Ovis aries: one gene and its partners. The protein of the gene in region 1 purifies or fractionates together with the protein of each later gene. This does not show direct contact. Links are inferred from orthologs where the notes say so. Each region holds a gene or a part of one and is shown on either strand. Other genes may lie near its edges.

Evidence for each region. The genes of interacting proteins can lie anywhere in the genome.
Region 2: the proteins of CASP8 (region 1) and FASLG purify together in Homo sapiens (co-immunoprecipitation; 8 studies listed by BioGRID and IntAct, with this or other methods). This does not show direct contact. The link is inferred for Ovis aries from reciprocal best matches to the Homo sapiens genes CASP8 and FASLG.
Region 3: the proteins of CASP8 (region 1) and NLRC4 purify together in Homo sapiens (affinity purification with western blotting; 3 studies listed by BioGRID and IntAct, with this or other methods). This does not show direct contact. The link is inferred for Ovis aries from reciprocal best matches to the Homo sapiens genes CASP8 and NLRC4.

Annotation. Positions count from the first base shown.
Region 1 is NC_056055.1:203,613,814-203,622,692, reverse strand, and holds the start of CASP8 (caspase-8), read right to left. Parts: upstream 5,627-8,879; 5' UTR 5,431-5,626; exon of another isoform or gene 4,070-5,430; intron 3,590-4,069; exon of another isoform or gene 3,546-3,589; intron 3,139-3,545; exon of another isoform or gene 3,045-3,138; intron 2,983-3,044; exon of another isoform or gene 2,920-2,982; intron 1-2,919. UniProt on the Homo sapiens protein: Thiol protease that plays a key role in programmed cell death by acting as a molecular switch for apoptosis, necroptosis and pyroptosis, and is required to prevent tissue damage during embryonic development and adulthood.
Region 2 is NC_056065.1:39,437,450-39,445,528, forward strand, and holds the end of FASLG (tumor necrosis factor ligand superfamily member 6), read left to right. Parts: intron 1-932; coding exon 933-989; intron 990-2,220; coding exon 2,221-2,615; 3' UTR 2,616-5,599; downstream 5,600-8,079. UniProt on the Homo sapiens protein: Cytokine that binds to TNFRSF6/FAS, a receptor that transduces the apoptotic signal into cells. Involved in cytotoxic T-cell-mediated apoptosis, natural killer cell-mediated apoptosis and in T-cell development.
Region 3 is NC_056056.1:91,647,334-91,655,412, reverse strand, and holds part of NLRC4 (NLR family CARD domain-containing protein 4), read right to left. Parts: intron 7,421-8,079; 5' UTR 7,296-7,420; coding exon 7,295-7,295; intron 5,441-7,294; coding exon 5,180-5,440; intron 4,882-5,179; exon of another isoform or gene 4,782-4,881; intron 4,296-4,781; exon of another isoform or gene 4,282-4,295; coding exon 2,287-4,281; intron 1-2,286.

The DNA of each region.
Region 1 (8,879 bases):
ACTGTCTTTCCTACCAAATATTTTAGTACTGTTTATACATTTTCCCTCCTATTTGAACACACTGTACTTCTGAGGTATAAGTGTATTTTTCCACTGATAATATTATAAGTACAACTTGACGTGTTTTTTTCCCACAACATGGATTTGAAAATCTGTAAGTTATCTAATCATACACATAGCCAATAATTTATCTAACCAGTCTCTGATGACATTTTTTGTTGTTGTTCAGTTGCTTAGTCGTGTCCGGCTCTTTGCAACCCCGTGGAATGCAGCATGCCAGGCTTCCCTGTTCTTCACATCTCCTGGAACTTGCTCAAACTCATGTCCATTGAGTCAGTGATGACATTTAGGATGATCTTACAATACAAATCTCCAATGCAACTCTGATTATTTTATTAGAATAATTTCTTAGAAATAGCATTATTGAGATGAAAGACATAAAGCTTTTTAAGGCTTTTGTTACCTATTCAATAGCACTTTCTGACATACAAAAAAATTCCAATCCAAAGCCAGAATGACATGAGTTTGAATATAACATGATTGGCTCCTGTCCTCTATAACCAGGTCATTTCATTTTCTTTGTAATAGCTTGGCAGTGCTTTCTAAGTGATTTTTACATCACATTAAAATGGACACTTAGTAGGGAAAGTACTGGTGAGGCTTCTTTCCTGACCCAGGTTTTCCAAAACACATTGTGGTATAATATTGTCTTTGTTTAGGTCACCCATCTCTCTGCTCGTAGTACCTGGGAAGCACTATTACCTGCTCCAGATTTTATACCATTAACCACGGACCACCTCTAGATTAAGATCTGTAGGAAGAGGAACTAAAAGGCACTTTTTTTTTTTATGGGACCTGGCTTTATTGCATGAGCTCATAAGCCAGAAACTTTATTAGAGTAATATTTTAAAAAGAATAGTCATTGCTCTATTTTTCTCATCCTAAAGTAGTAAAAGTAACACTTTTTCCTTAGAGAACTTTTAAAAGAAAAATACCACTTGGAAAAATTTAGAAGTAATTTTGGGGTCACATTTGTGGGTTCTTTCCCAATTTTATTCACATATATGCATATATAATGTATGCATATACATATGTAGAATATATCAATTTGAATATATTGATTTATATTGCATGCAAGATAGAGGAGAGGGGTGGGAATGGAAAGGCCTTCAGAAGTTTTCTTTTACTTTCAATTATACAATATCTAAGCAATAAGCCCACATACATATATTTGTATTATATGATATGTAACTATATCTATTATTTTTATAATGTGTGCCCCAAAGTATTTTTATATAGCCAAATATTTGTATTATGATATGTAAATGTTTATAACATATAACGATATAAACATAAAAATATTTTTCTTGTCTCATTTACTGCAATCCTCTCTAGAAATTGCTATTATCGTCTTCACTTTATTACCATGAAAAATCAGTTCAGAAATAAACTAGTGAGAGGTATCAGGCCCAGATTAGAGCATCTCAAGAGGCTTAGTGACAGACCCTGCAAAGATTTAGATTTTATTCTAATTGCAGTTGGAAGCCAGTGAAGAAATTTAATAAAGACACATAATCAAAATATTTTTAAAGATTATGAATTACTTAAAATTTTAAAAGACTAAGTGAAGTGAAGTGAAAGTCACTCAGTCATGTCTAACTCTTTGTGAACCCATGGACTATACAGTCTTTAGAATTCTTAAAGAAACCCCCCAAAGAAACAACAAACAAAAATTCTTAACAAATCCACTAAAGCAGAGAGAAGATCAGAACCTTACAACCAAGCTGGTATGCGCTGGAGCCTGGATTTAAACCTCAGCACCTCATCCCAGAGTCCCGAATTAGCACTGCCTGTTACACCACAATTAAATTGCAAATAAATCTCATCTAATCACAAACAATCCTTCTAACAATATTCTAGCAGCATCTTAGCTCTCTCAGTCTAATGAAAAACTACCTCAAAGCTGGAGAAAATAAACCCAAAATTTGTATTCCTCTTCTGAGACAAAAATATGTGTCTCATTCACAGCTTAAGAGTACTGGAAAGTTAGTCTCAGGCCTGAAAGCCCTAGGTAATAGGATGGCCATTCCCTCCAGTCCAGGAGGATCACTCCGAATTGGGGTTCCCATTCCGAATCAGGATTCCCACTCCAAATTGGGATTCACCCAGAACCTGCCAGAGACCCACACAAGCACTGTTCACTGCAGGGCCCCAGCCAGCACTATCACACAGCCCAGAAAAGGTATCCACATTCCAGCCAAATTAAAAACCTACCAAACTGAACGAAGGTATAACTTCACCTGTAAATGCTTAATCTCACACTTCCAAACCAATGCTGGAATGAAATTCATAATTCCACCTATGAATGGTTAACTCCACAAATACTGATTATCAATCTATTGCCATTATATTACTCCCTGTACTGTTCTTTACCCTTTTAATCCCCCCACCCCCATCCCGCAAAGATAAATAAATAAACAATTGAGTGTTTAGCACTGTGTGTGTGTGTTTCTATGTGTGTCTGTTTAGGTGTGTGTGTGTTTATGTTGGTGGTCTGTGGGTCGACAGACGGGTAGCTACAGCAGCAAAGTCAGTTGAGATTTGAATTTTGGTTTCTATTCTTCGATAAGTCTGGCTGGCATAAGGGTGAGGCCTCTGTAAAGATGAATATATTTGGAGTATTCCCCCTCTAAAACTCAGGAATGCATCATCTACCAAAGCTGGAGGGGCACGGACATCTGGGATCTCTGAACCCTCACCACGGCCTTCAGAGGCACGGCTAACTCTCCCAGTTTCTTCATCTACACTCAAATACTAGGATTACCCTATGGGCCCTTGAACCTGCCAGATCCCATTCTCAGTAGCCTAGAGAGTTCTAGATTCAAAGGCCTTCCTCTCCAAAGTCCCATCAGATCTTACCAGAGGCGAATCCTGGAACCTTCACAGCAGCAGCCACTTCACGGGCCTCTTCTCTCAGTACATCTAAGACAGGAATTAGAGTCAAATGAAGAACCAACAACGTAGCTCGCTTACTTCCTGTTTTCAAAACTCCTGAGTCACCATAGGCTGAGTGAGGCAGGCCAGCCTCCAGGCAGCACCCGCATCCTCATCTCCAAGAAGGAGCCCGTGGAATAAGAGGTAGGTGCTGGATGGGGACGCTGGCCATCTGAGACTTGCCTCTGGCTATGTGACTTTGGGCAGGTCATTTTCTCTTCGGGGCTTCTGTACCACATTCCAAAAGGAAAAAGGAACTGAATGATAGCTAAGAACCCTTTCTTTTCCTTTTCAGAAATATACAGATTTTTATGGGTTCATTATTAAGACTTCAATGGTTTCCTTCAATAATACTCATTGAGCACTCCTGAGTGGTCTTGAGTTCTGGAACTATGGGCCCTCACTATGGTTCAGAGGGTCTACTGACCCCCACAGAAATTCTCATGGTTTCCCCCACCTACATTCATATACAAGATCTCACCCTCAGCAGTCTAGGTCTAGAAAACTCTAGAATCATATTGTTTCCTCCCAAAAGGCCCAGCCAAACTCACCAAAGGAAAAATAAAATCCCAGGGCCCTCACCATGGACTGGGACCTGGAGATAAAACAGAGAACAAAACTCACTTTAGCCCTGCCTTTTGGCTCTCATCAGTTGTTTTCTGATGATTAAAGTAGAGGAAAAAAAAAAAAAAAAACCTCTCTTCTTTGAAACTACATGTTCTCTTTCCCCAAATGGAGTATTAGCTTTCAGAGGGCAAATTTCACAGCCGAGAGGATTAACAAGATAGCTGAAAATGCCCCTCCACCTGCAGAGAGCTAGGTAAGGGTTCTGTGTTCCTTTTGTGCCCTTAACTTCCCTTGACTCTGCCCTGAGAACTCCGAGTGAGAAGGCAGCCACAGAATGAAAACCTGTTAGTGGCTAAATCCTATCCCAGGAAGTGCCCCCTTGCTCTTTTCTTGCAGCCTCCTAAATACATCCACCCAATATCTGTCCTGCTGTTTTATGGCTGGTTCCTATCCTAGGCTGTGATCTTCACAAAGGCAGGGACCACATCTTTCATGTCCATGTTTCCAGTTTGTGCCACAGGAGTAGAAATACCTCGAATATACAAAGGTCTCCTGCAGATCAACAAGGAAAAGAAACCCTGACGAAAGACAATGGATCTGACTATAGAGTTCCTTGACAGAGATACTCAGATGGCCAAAGTGTGCGAATGATACTCAAATTCATGACTAAGCTGGGGAATACAACGCAGGTATGAGCTACCTACTTTGTACCTATCAGAATGGCAAAGGTTTGCAAGCTGGAGCCAGCCAAGTTCTTGGTGGGCCAGTTCTTCTATAGCCCTTATATAAGTTGTAGAGACTGTCCGTCATGGAATAATAAGCAGCGGTTACAAAGTGGGAGCAGGCAAAACACATAGAACTTAAAGTACAGAGTGCTTACTTGCAAAAAATAAAAAATAAAAAGTCAAAAACAGAACAAGCAAATTACAATATGAATACTAATACATAACATGTAATAATAATTGCTAACACTTACTGGGTACAGAGCAACACCAGTCACTAAGTGGCTAAAGCTGTTATTATCAAATAAATCCTCACAGCTACCTGTTGAGGGAGTGTTAATCCCACTAATGATGAGGAAACAGAGGTACAGAGAAATTATTTTCTTGCTCTGGTCACAGAGTTTAAGACACAGTGTACACACACAAAACAATGGTACATTTCACAAAGATACAGAACAATTAAGGATATGTATCATAAGATGCGGAGGGTTGTCTTTGGGAGCCGGCTTCTCGGGTGGCTCAGTGGAAAAGAATCCAAGTGCCAATGCAGGAAAAGCAGTTTCGATCCCTGGATTGCAAAGATCCCCGGGAGACAGGAGTGGCAACCCATTCCAATATGTTTGCCTGGAAAATCCCATGGGCAGAGAAGCCTGGCGGGTACAGATTCTAGGGTTGCAAAGAGTCAGACATGACTGAGCGACTAGCAAACACACACACTTTGGGAGCCAGCGAGGAGGATAGGAGATAGGTTGGGGAGTGGGGAGATCCAAGAAAATGGATAAAGCAGGGCAGGGTCGGGGGGCCCATGGGTCCCCAAGACCAAGGGTTTATAGGGAATCGGGATCTGATTGAGTGATCAACTCAACCCTCTGCCCCAGGACAAGTGGTATAGAAAATAAACATAAAAAGGTAAATAAAGTCTTCTGGGAAATCTAAAGTAAACCAGCAGGAGACAGTGTACCTATACTCGAGGCAGCAGAGGAACTGGCGCGTCCTCAGATTAAAAAGTAGCAAAGCCAGGGGCTGTGGTTCAGATAGGAACCCACTCAGAACCTGGCACTCTGGCAGGACTGGGAGGTGACTTCCCCGGGAAGTCCTCGAGTGAGAAAGGCGGCATCCAGAAGCCAACTGGGCACCAGGCACTCACCTGCTCCACACAGTCCTGGCAACATCCCAGCCACCAAACTCTCGACGACAAGACCCCACACTGCCTAACTTCACACTTCGTATTACTGAGGCTCGTTCTTAAAACCCAGCTGGAGATAAATCCCTGGAAATGAGGCAAGCGGGAGGGGGAGACAGGAGGTGGGGTTGGAAACGCCTCCAGGAAGAAGTTTACTTTTACTTTCGATGCCTCCACCAGGCTTTTATGCCTGCCCCTGGAAGACTCACTTCCTGGTTCTCTCCTCTCTACGTTCAGAATTTGCTACCAAATTCCGCAGGGCTTTAAAAAATCTTGAGATAAAAGAAAGAGAACCTGTGAAACCATTGCCTTCCAGCAGAAGGGCAAACTCTGGTCTTCAGGAAGAGAGAAAGAAAATTCCTGAAGAGAGAGAACTAGAAAATAAACTTGATTTGGAAAGCTGGAAAACTGAGGTGACTCACTTGAACAGAAAATGTTTCTTATTTAAAGGAACCGAAGCCCAATTTCCCTACATTCAGAAGTGACCACAGACATGCAACTAAACTGCATGTCAACATGCAAACTAAAAACCAGGAAGCTGGACGTGTTTTATTGGAAAGCATTTTACTCACTGCATTTAGTGTTTATCAGCTCTCTAATTTTTAAAGAGACTTGAGACTGCCTGTGGCCAGTAAAATGTCATTCTCGCTTGAAAGGGGTCTGCAGAGAAAAATGCTTCCTCTGTTCTGTGGCCTGAATCTTAGCACTGCAGCCGTGGACAAGCTCCCCAGATCATCTGGCAAGAACTCTTCCTGGGTCCAAACAGATCTCTAGCTGAGTTGTGAGGAAATTCAGCACCAAAAGGGGGTGAGGTCCTGCCCAGCCCTAAGCAGGGGTAACCATCCTTGTCCAGTGCTGAGCCCCTGGTGGGGAGGGGAGTGTTGGGGGGAGGGGACAGTGATGTGAAGACCTCTCCTCTGGGAGTCTGAACCTCCCCAGCTTTTCTTCATCCTCCACCCTCTCCCCACCCTCTGCCTCTGTTAACTGTTTGAATTTTTTAAAGAGTTTTCTGCCTTTTTGTTTTCACATCTTCTAGATTTTAAAACTACGACACCAATAATAATGCAATATCTGTACGTTGCACCTTTACATCAATTATTTCTCATTCTCCCAACAATGTAGAGGATCCCGCATGTCATGGAGGAGGAAGCGGAGGCTCAAATGAATATATGAATTCGAACTCAGTCCAGCTGGATCCAAAACAAGGATTTTTCCACCATAACACACTATTCCCTCCCCCAAAAGTTAGGATTTGAAATGAACCATGTGGATGGAAGAGTGCTAAATTTAAACTCACATGATGACCTATGTGCAGAGGTCAGAAGGTCACCTAAGAAAAAGGAGGCGGCCTACAGGCACCAGCTAACAGCATAAAAATTCTGTGTGTGCCACATGTATAACCACCCAAACTGGTTCATTTCACTTTCTGAGTAATTCGCAGAAGTGGATGCTATTTTTGCTCTCATTTGAGCAAGGAAGCTGAGGTTTGGAGAGGTGAAAGACTTAGACAAATATCTTCAGCTAGTGAGTGGCAGGATGAAGTTTTTGTGCCTCTCTAAAACCCTGAAAGGTTAATCAGTGTCTGAACATTAGTACACACCCATGGCTCTCAACTTGATTGATCTGAGGGTTAACTGATTAGGTTTCTAAATTGCCAGTCTTCAGGCCCCAGCTCTGAAATTGCTATCTGAGCAGAATTACAGGAGATAAAACAGATTGAGCACTTAACGGAATGCCTGGACCTCCCACAGTTCTTGGTAAGTAATCAGTACCACTGTTACATAAGCTCACATCTGTACAATGGCTATGAATTACTAGACATATAGTGCAGTTGAGGAAGCTAAGTTCAGTGTCGATCAACTGACAAACTGCATGGCCAGCACATGATCCCAAGATTGTCGCACTTGAGCGTTTACCCCCGTCCCCCAATCCCTGGCTTGGAGGAAATGGATGAGCCACCACAGGCATCTACGGAGCAGTACTGAAGATGAGTGGGGAGGTTCAGGGCTTCAGCCTGTCATTTGCAAGGCACTGATCCTGTGCTCTCTTAGTCTTAAATCTGTTTTTAAAAGGAAAACCTATAAGGACTTCCCTTGCAGTCCCGTGGATAAGACTTCCTGCTTCGAATGTAGGAGGCACAGCTTTGATCCATGTCAGAGAACTTAAGATCCCACATACCTTGGAACATGGTCAGAAAAACTAAAATAAAATATTTTCTTTAATGAATAAAAGAGGACAAATAATTAACAAGTAAATTGTAACCCTCAAGTTGGTTAAATTCCTTTTGTGATTTACTTGCTCTAACCAGGTTCTTAAAACTCAACATTCAGAAAATTAAGATCATGGCATCTGGTCCCATCACTTCATGGCAAATAGATGGGGAAAGAGTGAGAGACTTTATTTGGGGGGGCTCCAAAATCACTGCAGATGGTGACTGCAGCTGTGAAATTAAAAGACGCTTACTCCTTGGAAGAAAAGCTATGACCAATCTAGATAGCATATTCCAAACCAGAGACATTACTTTGCCAACAAACGTCTGTCTAGTCAGAGCTAAGGCTTTTCCAGTGGTCATGTATGGATGTGAGAGATGGACTATAAAGAAAGCTGAGCGCAGAAGAATTGATGCTTTTGAACTGTGGTGTTGGAGAAGACTCTTGAGAGTCCCTTGGACTGCAAGGAGATCCAATCAGTCCATCCTAAAGGAAATCAGTCCTGAATATTCATTGGAAGGACCGATGCTGAAGCTGAAACTCCAATACTCTGGCCACTTAATGTGAAGAACAGACTCATCGGAAAAGACCCTGATGCTGAGAAAGATTGAAGGTGGGAGAAGGGGACAACAGAGGATGAGATGGTTGGATGGCACCATCGACTCCATGGACATGAGTTTGAGTAAGCTCCAAGAGTTGGTGATGGACAGGGAAGCCTGGTGTGCTGTAGTCCATGGGGTCACAAAGAGTTGGACATGGCTGAGTGACTGAGAGACTGAGCTGAATTCAACCAGTTTTCTTGTTTCCACCTTGAGCTATGTGTCTGCGTGATTTTAACATCAAAATGAACAGTGTACTTGGTTGTTATTCCTGAGGAAGCTGGAAAGGCTGGATGTGTTGCAGTTCAGCATGACATGGCGGAGCTGTTCCCTGCCCAGGACAGGCAGAGGACCGCCTAGTTTGACTTAAAAGCCAAGAGGTTTCCACTTTCCTGAATCACAGCTCCTATTGATGGCCTGCTCCAGAGACTTCTGGCTACTAACCAGCAAAAAACAGACTTGAACCTGAAAGTTTCTGTAAGAAAGCTAGGAATGACTAACCCTCCTGTTCACCAACTGCAGTACACTGATCTGGACTAACCTCAGGACATTAGTCAAGGACAAATACTGACAGTGAAACAAAAATCCCCTGAACAAGCATCTT
Region 2 (8,079 bases), on another chromosome or scaffold:
GAGTCAGAACCAACAAAATAGGGTGACGCCAGAGTGCTTCCAGGTTTGAGTGGAGGAAAGAATCATATTCAATTAGAAAGGCTTGGGAAGGTTTTCCAAGAAAAGAGATATTTTAGATGGTGTTCGTAGTGTCGATAGGAATTTGACACAGAGATCAGTTTGGGAGGGCATTCCAGGCAGGAAGAACAGCACGGACTAAAGCACAGAGGCAGGGAGGCTGGGTGTGCTCAGAACTCTAGTGTGGCAGCATCCAGTGTGGGTGAGTAAGCCAGAGGAGGCTGGACAGATGAGCAGAGGGCATGTGGTGGGGAACACGCATGTGCAATTACATGTTTAATGAGGAGTCATTCGAGGTGTTTGAGACCTTAGAGTAATTAATCTGGGGCCAACTGTAGAATGCCACTGGGGAAGACCTGGTGGCCTGGACATTCGCAGTCTTCTTCAACTCTTGTCCTGTAGTCCTGAGGGCAGCAGAGCCAGAGATGCAAGGGCCCTGGATTTAGACTCAGGAGACCTGAGTGTTGGTCCCACTCTGACACTGAGTTAGCGGATCTTCTTGGACAAGTCACCCAGCTTTCAAGCTCATTTTGCCATCTGTAAGATGGGACAGTAATCTCTACCTCAAAGGATTGTTGGGAGTTATAAATGCAGTAACTTATATGGCAGGTCTTTATAAACCAACCTTTATATTGCTTTGTAATTTATAATTTATGCATGTCTGTCTTAATTTGACTCCTTTTTACCTCTCTGTTTCTGAAATATAGGCTGCTGTAAGTCCTATAGTTTGGACTTGAGTGATTAGTGTATGTTAGACTGTTGCCATTTATGCTTATAAAAAGTATCTTTTATTTAAATGCCCTGTTTAGAGTCCCACAAAAAAGAATAGTAGTTATGTCACTTTGACATGTATCCTTCATCTCTCTGTAATACAGGTCACCCCAGTCCACCCTCTGAGAAAAAGGAACTGAAAAAAGCGGCTCATTTAACAGGTCTGTATCTGGAGGGCCATCTTGGGAAAGCCTTTGGCAGAAAGCAGAGTAGCTGGTTGGTTTCTGTGACTGAGCTCTGAGGGAGCTGATACTTTCCAGTGACAGTATTTGAAACCCGAGTAGTCACATCTTTCTAGTCACGCCAACACCACACACATGCACACACACACACACACACAGGGCGGCTCTAGGCAAGGCCCTGCTCTAAGCTGGCGAAATGGAGGTGCTTATGACATGATCCCTGCTCATAAGGAACTCACTCTCTTCACTCACTCCAAGGACCCTTAGGGAATTTGGGGCATAGGTCCAAGAGGTAAGAGCTGGGGAGATGGTGAACAGTGAATTATTTTTTTGCCTTGGTTTTCTGGGAGAGTTTTTCTCTGTCCATGAGCAGAAATAGGAGAGGGGAGGCCAGGCCCTGGCACACATGGTCGTGCAGTGGAGTGACATGATTTGATAGCAAGACAGTGGGGGCACTGTCAGTGTGAAGTCCACAACATCTGCAAAGTGGATGAGTATCACAGAAACTGGCATGCTGCTGTCCCTGAAACTATGTCAGCAGAGGCTGTAAAATGACCCAGTTTAGATCAACAGATATTTCTTGAGCATGTGCTGTGTGCCGAACCTGGGCCACGTGGAGGTGAATCACACATGGCTCCTGCCTTCAAGGAGCTTACAATCTAATAGGGAAAGACAGGTATGAAAGCAATATTTCCAGCATTCTCTGCTTGAAGTAGGTATGTACACCATGCTGTACAGATACAAAGGAAAGGGGATTCTTGCCCACACTGAAGAATCTTTCGTGTAGGTAAAGAGTTGGACTAGATGATTCCTAAGGTCTTTTCCAACTTTAGAACTTCAGAGTGCCTTGGATTTGACTTCTCCTCTCACAAAGAGACTCAAACTCTAGCAATTTGTATGCTAGTTCTGAACCTCTGTTCATAGAATCTCTGTTCCAGAGAGCTAAAATCATCCTAGTCTTTTCTCAGTGCAGTTGGTTAGAAACATATGTTATTGTCCCAGTTGTGTGGATGATAAAATTGAGGGAGTCAATTTGATAAACGTGCTGAAGAAGTTCAGTAATAGGTCAGGCCTGACCCATCACCCAGTTCTATGTCATTTGGGGAAAAAGCACTTGCTCAAGGAATGGTCCACAGTTTTGCCTTGAAAGCTTGGTCTGTGGGATACATGAGCATTCCTGGCTGAAAGCTCCTCTCTCGTTTGATTTCAGGCAAGCCCAACTCAAGATCCATCCCTTTGGAATGGGAAGACACCTATGGAATTGCCCTGGTCTCTGGGGTGAAGTACAAGAAGGGCAGCCTTGTGATCAATGAAACTGGGCTGTATTTTGTGTATTCCAAAGTGTACTTCCGGGGTCAGTCCTGCAACAACCAGCCCCTGAGCCACAAGGTCTACTCCAGGAACTTTAGGTACCCCCAGGACATGGTGCTGATGGAGGGGAAGATGATGAACTACTGCACTCCTGGCAAGATGTGGGCCCGCAGCAGCTACCTGGGGGCTGTATTCAATCTCACCAGTGCTGATCATTTATATGTCAATGTGTCTGAACTCTCTCTGGTCAGTTTTGAGGAATCTAAGACATTTTTTGGCTTATATAAACTCTAAGCAAAGCACTTTGGGATTCTCTCCAGTATGATTCCCTGTTTCAGGCCCTGAGAATATTGTCTTGAATGAGAGTTTTCTTAAGTCCACTTGAGGCCATGAGAGAAGACATGAACCAAGAGAATCTTGAGACCACGGAGTCCAGCAGGTCCACAGTTCCTTAAAGGCCCACAGCCAGACAGGAGGAGGACTATGAGTAACGAACATGAAACTCTGGGCTGCCATGTGGAGACGCAAAGGCAGGGAAAAGTGACTACCAGTTGCTTATGCCAGCAACTACACTTGTCTTAAGTGGCCTAGTGCATTTGGACACATTGAAAATGGCACCTTTTAACTCACCTCTTGGGGTGGGTCTACTGTCTACCTCAGAGGAGGCTGTCTTTCATGTATATGGGTGTGACATGAATGTATAAGGGATGGGAAAAGAGGACCAGGCTTGCATGATAAGCTAAAGAGACTGAAAGGCCAGCATCCCACTGGTAGCATCTTTATTTCTAGATGTACAGTCTGAGCCATCAGGTGATGTTAACAGAGAAGCAAAAGAAATCTTTGGGAACTCAAAACACTCCCTATACAACATGCATATTTCCAGTGCAATTGTAGGGGTGTGTGTGTGTGTGTGTGTGTGTGTGTGTGTGAGTATGTGACTAGAGGGTTACATAAGTAGAGAGAACGTGGGAATTGGGAAGGGCATATTAGAATATGGGCTGCATTTGGTGGTAGATTTTGAATGCTTTTTGGTAACCAACTCTAATAGTCCTCAAAGCTCTTTGATTGTCAGTTGTTAATGCCATTTTTCCATAATATAACTATATTTATATGTATTTTGTACATTTTTAATGAAAAGAATACCCATAACAAAAACTATATTTTATAATATAGGTAGGCATTGTGAGTGTTCTATTTGGAAATCACTGAGGTTTGTATCTTTTCCTTATTATTTCTTTTCTCCATGGCTTCCTCACTCATTATGATTTAAGCCCACTTGAAGAAGAATTTACTAGTGTGAGAAGAGTTATGAGGCAGACCTTTGCATCTTTGCCAGGCTCTCCTCTCCTTACTATATTCTCTTTCCCTTCTTGCTTCTACTACCTAGAGTTTCTATTACCAATATTATTGCCAGTGTTAAGCTCACCTATTTCCCATAGATTTGATGACAGTTTGTCTTTTCCTGGTGGCAGAGACATGCACGATGGAAAGGGCATAGACTTGGGCCTAAAAACCTGAATTTGAATCTTTGTTCCTCTACTTGATAACTATGCAGGTCACTTGACCTTTTTTGGACAAAAGGGGGGTGATACATAAAGTATCTAATACATAGTAGAATGTCAAAAATAGTATCTGCCATTATTAATAAGGGGAGGTACTTCATTCCAGAAGAAGCTACAAATCTGAGAGATCCATCCAAACACCTGTTTCTTGCCTCCTCACCTTGGTCAGTCACAATGACCTTTTCCTATTTTGTCCAAATGCTCATTACTATGACTTCTCCTTATACTTTGTCACTGTTAAAAATAACACTTCTGTTAGAATTTGACTTCAGCACCTTATTTTCACAACACAATCTCCTATAATTCCAACTCAATTTGGTCCAACATCTTCTCTCTTAAAATATATATTTTTCCATATTTGACATTCAGTTAATAAATAGTATCATTTTCTTGCTTATCTATCAGCTCCTTCTTTATCTTCACTCTTTTCTCTATTCAACTTAGATTCCATGATCTGTCATTACAATCAGTACCTTGGAAAGACCTTGAACTCCAAAATACTTGGTTACAGTCACTATTTTCCTCTTGGAAAATCTCATTTTCTTTAAGCTGGCATCCTAGCAGCTGGATGTTGCTGGAGAAAAATAACTCAAACTGATTGATTAGTTTCATTTTATTTTTATCTAGCATCTGCTTAAATCAACCAATGAATTATTTATCTATCAGTGAATTATTTCTGTCTTTTGATTGATTTGAATAGGTAATACCTACACATAGTACAAATTGTAAAAGGTATGCGAAAACATAGGATGAAAGCAAGTCCTCTTCTCATCCTGTCCTGTGGCTCCACCTCTGCCCATAAGGAACAGCACTGTCTCCTTATGTAACTTTTGCGAGATGGTCTATACATAAATATGACATCACTTTATGTCAGGGTTTCCCAAGCTCGGTTCTGTTGACATTCTGAGCTGGCTGATTCTTTCTTGTGAGGGTTGTCCTGCCTGCACATTGTAGTATGTTTAGCAGTATCCCTGCCTTCTACCCACTGGATACCAGTAGCATTCCCCTCCCGCCATGTGTGATAACCAAAAATATCACCAAATGAAGTCAAATGTCCCCAGGCTGGGAGTGAGGAGACAAAGTCCCTCCTGGTTGAGAACCACTGCTTTTTATTAGTGATCAGAGATTTCAAATCAGCATTCAAAGGCCCACCACTTTTTCTTCAGTTTCTTCATGGGCATTTTTTTTTCACTGTTTGAGACAATTACATCATGTCTTTTCCTCTTGTAAACCAACCACATCCCCTCCTCCCACCATGGAATCTCACTTCTACCACTGAAACACAAACCCGCCTGCGTCTGAATGATCTCTTTCTTCCATCCAGTACGGAGGAGGACGAGGACCATCTATTTGTGCGCTAGACTCCTTTCCTCTTCCCTGCTTTACCTGTTTACAATTTTTCTTCTTTCTTCTGGATCTTCAAACTAGCTGTCTATGAAATAATGCCCACTAGCATGTAATACATATATACTCAAGTATTTCCTTTCACTAAAAGACAAATCAAACCACAAATCAACCCAAACCTTTCTTTAACCTTCCCCTTCATTTCTCATTTTTCTGGTAGAGACAAACATCTGAGAAGGCTTTTTCCACACACATGAGCTCCATTTTTTTTTTTTTTCAGCCAGGAATCTGGCTAGGTTATTTATTTGACCACTTAAAAAATCTGGTTTTTTCTTTTTTTTTTTCCTGTTAGAATAAAAGTTCTGAAAGCAAGACCTTTTCTGTTGTGTTTGCCTTTGTATTCCAGATTACCTCAGTGCCAGCACATATTAGGTGCTCAATAAATATTCATTGACTAAATAACTTTAGTCATAAGGCAAAAGCCTTTCAGTGGATATGTTTTTCAGAGTAGTGAATCCATAGCTGTGTTGCCTCATGGATGTGTGTGCATGTTTATCCATCTTTGACTAGATTATCCAATGAGAGTTTGAGGCTACAGATGAAAAAAAAATTGTGCATCCTAATTCATGGAATTAGAAAACAAGAAAGATCTAATTGGTCCTTGGAATTACCAGGAGCTTTTGGGAGAATGTGGAGGAAAAATTCTAGGTAATTAGAGCTGAAACTGTCATTTAGAAGATACTCAATACATATTTCTCTTCCCTGGTAGCTCAGACAGTAAGGAATCTGCCTGCAGTGCAGGAGTCCTGAGTTCGATCCCTGGGTTGGAAAGATCCCCTGGAGAAGGGAATGGCAACTCACTCCAGTATTCTCACCTAGGAAATTCCGTGGACAGAGGAGCCTGGCAGGCTATAGACCATAGGGTCCCAAATGATTGGACATGACTGAGCAATTAATACTTTCACTTTTTCAATACGTATTTGTTGAATAAATTAATGAACAAAACCAAAGGTGCAGGTTGGAGTATGCCACCTGATTTCCTTAAAACTCTTCTGTTGATTAATCTGCTTTATATGGTCAGGTTTCTGACCAGGTACCTCTTGGAGAAAGTCAGAGAGGTATTCACCCTTCTTTCGGCTGATTGTCTGTACTCCCAACCCTCACAATGACATTTTCCTCATCAGTTTCTTCTTCATATGGCTTCATCCATTGAAGTAAACTGGTTCTAATGGTCATGGGAAGTTGGCTGGACCATTTTGAGGGGTCAATGGGACCTTCTAGAGAATGGGGTTAGAGCAAAGAGGAAATAGGAACGGTGCTGGGCATCCGGAGGAGACTTGATGCCATTAGCTAGTGGTGGTACTACTGGTCCTTTTATGCATCTGAGTCTGCTCTGCTAGGATGCCTTCAGGATTTTCTGAAGACAAGTTTGTAACTTACTATTTCATTTCAGGGAAGAGGTATTAACAGTTTCCTTAGCTATTTTTCTGTAAGCAGGAATACAAGGGATGTCAAAACCCTAAAACTTTTTGAATGTGCTCAACAAAAATAGAGTCAGCCATTGTTCCCTTATGAAATGATAAACCCAAAGTAGAACACTTATTAAAAAAAAAAAAAAAGTCACCTCTGGTTCAGTAGTTTGAGGTTTTCTTTCTTTTCAAAGAACTAAAACCATAGAAAACCATGTTTTTTTTTCCCTTAGCCCCCTAGAGTGGTAACTTTGTATCCTCTGAAGTAGGTTTTGACTTACCACAGCTTTTCAGAAAAAAAGGCTTTACTGGGACCATCACTGTGAGAATGACTAACTTGAAACAACAGATCATTGGAAGACATTGAATTGCTTAGAGAAGCTGCCTCCTCAAAGCCAGGCTGTAAGATTTCCTTAAGGAAGTTAAGCCTTAGACATTTCTTGGTCCTTATTTAAGGAAGAGTGCTGTTAAATTGTATGTTAAATTACATTTTTTCAAAGGAGTTTGGTTAAGTTCTGATGTTAGTAGAGACGATTTTTTACTTTCTCTTTGTGTGTACGTATTTGTGTGTTTCTTTTCCAGGGGTTTGAATCATCCAGAGGCAGAATGAGGTAGTCCTAGGAAAGCTGAATTAAAGCCCATTCCTTAGGGCCTTCAGACTCAAAAATGGACCTTATTCAGAAATAATATAACTACTGATAGTAGCCAGGAATCTTTGAGATTCATCTAGAAACCACCAGCCTTGGAAATACAGACAGCTAAGTGGGTATTTTGCTCCTTACGGTTTACCCAGAGGGAAGAAAAGCATCACCTCAATGACAACTTTCTTGCTGTCGCTAGTTTTCCCTTTGCTGGGAGACATTTCTTCACTGTTCTACCTGGTACATCTTTCGAGAAAAGTGCACTGGGCATGTCTCTTCTCTTCCTCGGAGACCCCTTCACCTCTATGGGGTCATCCTTTCTTCTCTTTCTCAGTAGAATGACATGAACCTCAATCACATTCTGTTGAAAGTTGTCTTCTGTTCTAAAAGTTGTCCTAAGTTTTCTGAAAATTTCAGGAAAGACCTCCATTTTTTGAGCAGTCCACATGACATTAACAGCAGGTTTCCTGGCTCTCACCTGGATTCTGGCAGTGCATGCTCTCTAAAGGACTCCTATTGTGGACCATCTGAGTTGCCCTCAAGGCACTCCTACCACAAGTTGCTGGGTGTACACAAATTTTATTGACAGTTTGGGGCTAATGGATAGAGATTACATTACACACACAGTGTAAGTTACACCTAAAATTGAGTGTCAGACATCACCAGCATCCCTCAAATTTGCTGCAGTTATTTCCTTAAATGTGTCACCCCAAATCCTAGTACTTGAAAGGGAGCATAAGCT
Region 3 (8,079 bases), on another chromosome or scaffold:
GAATAACTGGATATCCATAGGGAAGAAAAATGAACTTTGATCTAAACTTAACACTTTACACAAATATTAACTCAGAGTGCGTCACAGATCTAAACGTAAAACGTAAAATTTCAAAAGAAAATATGGAAAAAATCATGTTGATTTTTTGCAAAGAGTTCTTAGACATGACACTGAAAGCGTGATTCACAAAGAGAAAAAGTGGACGGCAATAAAACTTTTGTCCTATGAAAGACACTGTTAAAGAATGAAAAGACTACAGATTGGGAGAAAATATTTTCAAATCACTTATCTGACAAAAGACTTGTATCCAGAATGTATTTAAAAAAACACTTAAAACTCAACACTAAGAAAACAAATTAACCCAATTAAGAATGGGGAAAAACTTGAACAGACATTTCACTAAGTTGGCAAATAAGTACATGAAAAATTTTCAACTTTTATCAGCCAACTCTGATGAGATAACATGATGCATAGAGTTCTAGTTTCTCCATATCCTCACCAGCACTTGGTATTGTTGTTTCCTTTATTATTATTATTATAAAATGAAAAAAAAAAGAGACAAATAGGAAGACTACTAAGTGCTAGTGAGAATGCAGAACAACTGAAATTCTCATGTATTGCTACTGAGAATGTAAAAGGTACACAGTGGAAGATAGCTGGGAAGTTTATTCAAAAGTTAAACAAGCACTTGTCACATGGTTCAGCAGTTCCAGCACTAAATATTTACCCAAGTGAATTGAAAACTTATTTTTACATACAAGTTTGCATAATAATGTTTATAGTAGCTTTACTTATAATTGCCCAAGCTGAAAATAACCTACATGCCCTTCAGTAGTGACTAGATCCTAGCTGTAAGAAAAAATAAATGCTGATTATAAACTCAAATGTCAGAGAGGGTGAGAGAGATGATGTTATTACAAGAAGTAGAACAGGTGACCTCTGTGTCTTACTGAAGATTATGTGTCTTGTCCAAAGAGCATAGGGTCAGATCATGAAGCTCTAGCCAGCTGTTACCAAGTGCAGTTGTCAAGTCTGTAATTTTCAAGAGCAATGAGACCTGTATTTTCATATGACATCTCCCAACTTCAAAATGGTGACAGCTCCTTCAAGGAAAAGAATCATTGTGAGGGGAGAGGGAAAGGAAGGAGACTTTTCATTATAGATTGTTTTATAATTTGGACCATGTGAATACCTTACTCAAAAAATAAATTTAAGATATTAAGAACAAAATATTGGCCAACAGGAAAAAAGAAATTTTTAATAATATGTAGATCAAATTCAGCCTGTAAGTGACCAGTTTGCCAAATTGGCACAAAAGAATTGCCATCAAGAGGAGACGGTAAGCCTGCTAGCACAGAAGGTAGTTTAATAGTCTGAGTAACTATCCAGAACCTGATAGAAGGGATTCTTGCATTGAGTAGAAGGTTGGAAAGCTTATCCCCTACATGGTGACAAGTGAGGCAGAACCAAAAGGGAAATCATTTGCGGATGAAAACCAATCTCAGATTACAGTCTCATAAAGCAAGGCTCCTGTCGACCCATAACTACACAGAACTCAGCAGCCCCTGCTCTGGTTAACAGGAGGGATCTAGACAGATGCGGCTGGTCTACACAGGTGACCCTCACCCTTAGTGTTATTTTGAATTTGGTGAAAACTCCCCTTTACCCAGAAAGATTTACCCCATATGTATTGTGTCTGTTGTCTCTAATTTCTTCATGTTAGACAAAACCTGTTCCCCAAATTTTCTTTCAGAATGAATGATGCTTGAGGTAGAGGTGGGACTGGGTGTGTGCTGCAATGTCCTAGTTAAGAGTCTAGTGACATGACTGGCCAGCAGCTTCTGCAGGCGATCAATTAATGGGTGGTTTTCCTCCCAGACTTCAAAGAAGGACAGGTGCTACTTGGTAGGAAAGCAGTGAGTGTTGGGTTGAGACAGAGATGCTGACAAGATGGAGGGTTCACAGAAAACAAGCTTAACCTACTGTACACATACACATGCACACACACACCTACATACACACACACTCACACACCACCATACACACTACCACATAGCTATGCAGTCAGACTATAGGGCTTCAGTTCTGGGAATCCACCCTAGGGCCTCCCAACATGACAGACTTCCCCCAGCAAGGAACTCTCTCCCAAGCCCTCCCACTTCCCTTCTAGGTCCTAACTCCTGGTAGAAACTATTGGAAAATTTCAGGCAAAACAAATGATAGCTAATATTTCTGCAGTAAATAACCAGGTTGGATTATAGCTTAAACTGCTGGTGTTCATGATACCTGGCAACCGTTGAATCTGTAGGTCATGAACACCCAAGGTCTGCAGGTTTGTCACAGATGTGATATGCTGCTCGTCTTCGAGGGTGAGGGGACTGGCTTCCACTATGAGGGCATGAATTTTCGTACAGGTGCTGAGGACTGAACTGAGGCTTCCAGCCATTCCGACACATCTCTTAATGTGCAACCTGAGGCTTGTAGCTGAACTGAATATTTTCTCCAGATATTTGACATCTTTCTTACTCAACTTGCAGAAATCCCGGAGTGTGACTTCCAAGGTCTTAAACTCCTGCTTCCCGTTGAAGAACAAAGACACAGCCCTGCTGGGAATGTAGGTTCCTGAGAACTCTTGATCCTGGGTCCTGCCTATGTCTTCTGTGGTCTTGTCCCACGAAGCCACAGTCCCCCCATAGAAGTCCAGTTTAACGAAGTCCAGAGCACTTGCACAGTTAGGCAAGTCTTCAAAGAAGTCAAATAAGTAGTCAGGGATATTCTCTGAGTTGATATATAAGCTTTTACCGCGAAAGAAAGCTTCAAATTCATTGCTCAGGCTAGACGTGGATATACTCTCATGGAATAAGTTGATTCCACACTCTGTAAAGGAATTGATGTTTATGGCTTTCTGAATTTCTTGCACAGTGGTGCTTTTCATATTTTGCATAGATTCCTGCCTCCAGAGAGGCCTCTTGGTGACAGAAAGTCCCAAGAGACTGCCATGTTCATACACTGATGACAAGTGTCTCAGAACAGTCCGGGTGGCTTCAGCAGATGAGCCGCATGTGTACAGAAGCAAGTTGCTGTACTTGGATGTAATGTCTGAAATGGAAACCATTTTCTGCAGGTGACCATTCCCCTTGGTCACTTCTGCTGGTTCTCCAGATGTCAGTAAACTGCTGAGTCTGCGTCCTGCTGTGTACTCCTGGAATGACTGATGAAAGAACTTATACTTTGGCTTGAACCGTTGCGCTGTGTATTTACAGAGGAGTCCTGTTGTCAGCAGGACATCCTCGTTCACATTGGACAAGTCATCTGGTTCGAAATCAAACCTGCGGGAGAACACACCCTCCAGAGCTAGGTCTCCACAGTGGTCCAAGCTCTGAGTGACTTCACTAGGAGCCAGCCCTTTACGTTTGTGCCTGTTTTTATTTATTAGCAGATCATAGAAGGCACAGAACAGCGTGGTTTGTGTGTGAGAGTGGAACTCACTTTTCCCCATCTGAATTGCACAAGTGATGACCACAAAGAGAGGGGTCTTCATTAGATTCCTCAGGCACCTGGATTTCTGAATTTGGAGCAACAAGCCTTCAGCGAACTCCTTTCTCAGCACCTCCTGAATGAGAGCCTGGGCACTGCTCTCAGTCATATCCCCCACCTCGGCAATCAGTGCCCCAAACTGCCGGATGTGCCTCAGGCTCTCCGTGGTGGTGGTGACGATAACCATATTCTTGAAGCGGTGGTTTTCCTTTATCAGGGCTTCAATTTCTGGGCAGTTCTGGGCCTTGAATTCATTGTAGCCATCAAGGAGAAAAAGAACCCTCTGCCGTAACTTCAGCAGCGTGGCCATGAAAGTCTGCTTACTGATCACATCAGGTATATCCAGGAGTTGGTCAGACAGGGTTTTGAAGAGTCCACCCTGGGCCCTGCTCAGACGAAGAAAGAAGACTAATTTGAACTTGGCGAGAGCCTGGCACTCTCCGGAGGCCCAGAGCATGGCGATTCGCTGCAGCAGAGTGGACTTCCCTTTGCCTGATTCCCCTTCAATGATGCAGGGGCTCTGAAGAGTGTCCAGCAGGCCACTCAGGGTCAGCTGTTCCAGGCGGTGATGGTGTTGGTCCTTCTTCCATAGCACTGGTTCTGTGAAGGTGCTTTTCAAATTAAACATGATGTCAATATCTTCACCCAGGGGATAGAAGTTGAGAAAAGATGGGCTCTCATAGAAGTACTTTAATTCCTGAGCCAAATCATCTAAATCGTCTTCTGACATCTGATGAAAAAGACCTGTTAGAGAAGAGGTGAGTTAAAAAGGACCCAGTTCTGTGTGTCCGCAGAACTTAGCGTTCAGGAGGAGGAAGGAAGGGGTGGTGCTGAGAATCTGACTTTAATTTCCTTCCCCAGTTCTGGAATGGCAGAAAGGGTTCCAGATATTTACTCCTGCTTTTCTGTGTTGGCCTTTACCCCCATTCCCCTTCTGTTTCTTCATTTCCAACACCAAACTTTGTAGCAGCTGATTGGAAAGGAGAGGAGCCAGTGTTTGGTATAAGGAATGTACATGAGACTAGTGGGGAAATGGCTTAGAATGATGGTCTGGTGACACTCAGCAAATCAAGAGTTAACCTTGATTAATATTTCATGAAAAGCAGAATCATGCTTCTTTAGTCAGTCAGGCTCTCTTTAGAGTGGAGCTTGGATCAGAGTAGGTAGTCACGGGGCCGCTTGTCCAAAGACGGTCCTCGTCAGATTGAGGAATGTTGAAAACTGCACTGACTTCTCTTTTTTAGGGGTGTGGGCACTTGGCATGACGGATCTTAGTTCCCTGACCAGGGACTGAACCTGTGCCCCCTGCAGTGCAGTGTGGAGTCTTAACCACTGAACTGCCAGGTGAGTCCCTGCTTTGACTACTTAAGTACCTTCATTATCCAATTTGATTCTGAAGTCAGACTATGCTAAATCATTTATTCCCTGACCTCGGAGTTTCTTATTTGGCTTCACCATCAAGTAATCTAGTGGGAGTGTTTTTCTCTTTCCTGAGAGTGTCTGAGCTTTTCCTGAATGTGACCAAAGCTCACAGCCCAGGAATATGAAAAGGGAGGAGAGCAGAGGCTCTGTCATGAGGATTATGGATCTTCTTCGTGGTTTATTCTCTTTGTAGAACATATAAAAGCAAACTGATACTTACTTAGTCCATGCAGTTCCTGAAACAGAGGATAGTTCCACTTTTCAAGGGATTTAAGAAAGAGGTTACAGGCTTCTGAACCCTTCTTCAAAATCATGTGAATGATCCCTCTTGCAGCGTCCTGCTCAAACCTCTCGCCAAGAATGACACTTACTTCTTCGTAATTCATGACATTCCATACAAATAGCTCATCCAAAATTTGCTTTATCACAGTCATTCCCATCCTTCGAATGAGAACTTGACTGTTCTCCTTTATGAAGTTCACTGAGAAAGTGAGGGGAAATATACATATTTATTCATTTGTACAAAATATGTATACTAGCATCATGTTGCCAGAGCATTAGGTTCATTCGTCCCCCACCACCACCTCCTTTGGACCTATCTTGAATTATGGGAATACCGAATGCTTGAATTCCAGGCCTTCAAGCAGAGCTCTGTAAAGCCCTTCATTCCTAACATCAGAGTCCTTGGTGAACAAGATGTTTTATTCTCTGATAACAAAGTAAAGTGAGTAATCTTGTCCTCACTGTACAAGAGTAAGGTCAGAGGGGCGAGATGTTGGGCTTTCAAACAAGGAGACTGGCATACAATCTGCCAGTTGCTACCATCTGTGTAACCTTGAAAAAGTGAAAGTGTTAGTTGCTCAGTCAAGTCTGACTCTTTGTGACCTCATGGACAGTAGCCCTCCAGGCTCCTCTGTTCATGGAATTCTCCAGGCAAGAATACTGGAGTGGGTTGCCATTTCCTTCTCCAGGGAATCTTCCCAACCCAGGGATCAAACCCAGGTTTCCTGCATTGGCAGACAGATTCTTTACCATCTGAGCCAACAGGGAAGCCTTGCCAAGTTGCTAAGCCTCTCTGAACCTGTTTCAGTGCTGCACTGCCAACCATTGAAAACATTGCCTCTCTGAGGGAAAAGGCCCAAATTCATAGCACATACCAATGTGCACATTATATTTCCACTGTGGCCAATTTCAAGCTAACAATGTATGTCAGCTGGCTAGCATAAAGCATAAACATTTACCAATCAGGTCTCATAAAACAGTAAGAACCAGCTCCAGTATACCATTGGTTCCTTATCTGTACAATGGAGTTGAGAAGTTACTTATGAAGTTGTAGTGAGAATTCATGTGTAGTATTTCATAGAAAGTAATAGCTCAATAAATGTTAGCTACTATTGTTAGCCATTATTCTGTTGCCACCACTCAAAGGAGTAGCACATTTTATCTGAGGTGAAATTTGGTGTTTTCTGAAGAGTATCACTGCAAAACTCTCATCTCCCATGGTGAGGTTCCCTGGAAAAGCTGTCTCATGTCTGACTTGCCAAGATCTAACTCTCCGAGGCAGTCTCTGCCAGCTCTGAGAAATGTCTCTCTGGTGTCGTACTCTTAGACATTTGTCTGCATTACTTTTCTCCCGGGCTAGGCTGCTCCTGCTTTTCAAATCTTTCTTGACAAATCCAAGTGGATATCTGCTCCCAAAGACCCCACGGCCTCTTTGATCTGAACTGCATCATCAGGTGCTCAGACCTCCAGAGTCCCATCCAAGGTCCCCCTTGTCTCTGTCGCTGATCCCTACTGCTAACCTCAGCTGGAATGTCACCATGTTTTCTGAGATGGTACACATGTTCTATATTCGTACTGTCTAGCAGTGGAGCCATTAGTCATATGTGGCTACTGAGCAGTTGAAGTATGGCTTGTGTGACAGTGTGACTGAATTTTAAATTTTATTTAATTTTTGTTTATTTAAATTCACATCTTAAATAGACACACATGGCTACTTGCTGCTAACTGCATTGGACAGCATACTCTAGACATGGTCATCAAGGTGGAAAGAGTTACGTTTTGGTTGCCACTTAGATCTACACAATGATCGCGCAGGTGATGGCAGGGGACCAATATTTTAAAACCATCACTCTTTGTGGCTTATCTGTGGTTCTGCCATTTATCCCAGGCCACCGTATTTATAACTGAATTCTCCAAATCACAAAAGAATATATGATGGGAATTCCATATATAACTGATCGAAGGAAGGCATAAATTGATTTTTCTATTCAATACCACCCATATATGAAAGCATACTATGTAATCAGGCAGATTTGATTTCTAGTATACTTACTTTTTCTGAAAAAAAACTTCCCAGCTTTTTGTATCTAAAAGACAATATTATTTCCAAATGGAGAAATCAAATGTGACTCCAATATTATCCTCTTCTTTCTGTAAAATGGCTCCTCATTCTGTAAAACTAACAAGACAGAAGCTATCAGGAAGCAACCATTGTCACTTTCCCTTTTTTTTTCCACACCAAGAAGAACACAGATTACGTAATGTTTGACATCTGTTTTGTTTATTTACTGAAGTTTTTGAGACCTTTCTGTACCAGCTAAATATTAAACTGCTTCATTTTTTTTTAAAGATTTTTGATGTGGACCATTTTTGTAGTCTTCACTGAGTTTGTTACAACATTGTTCCTGTTTTATGTTTTGGTTCTTTGGCCAGGAGGCATATGGGGTCTTAGCTCCCTGACCAGGGATTGAGCCCACACTCCCTGCACTGGAAGGCAAAGTCTTAACCACTGGATCACCAGGGGCGTCCCCAAACTGCCTCATTTTAAAAATCAGTCTCATTGACGTGTACTTCACATGCAATAAAATACAAGGAACTTTCACAAATGTACACACCGAAGTTAATTTTACCCGTCAAGATTTAGAAAATTCCCATCAGTGCAGAAAGTTCCCTTGTGCCTCTTTATAGTCCCCATCAAAGCAACCACTGATCTGATTTCTTTAACTATAAGTTGCTTTTGCCTGTTCTAGCACGTCTGTGTGCGTGTGTGTGTGTGTGTGTGTGTGTGTGTGTGTGTAGTGGGAATTCCTAATAATGTACTTTCACAGCCTTGAGAAA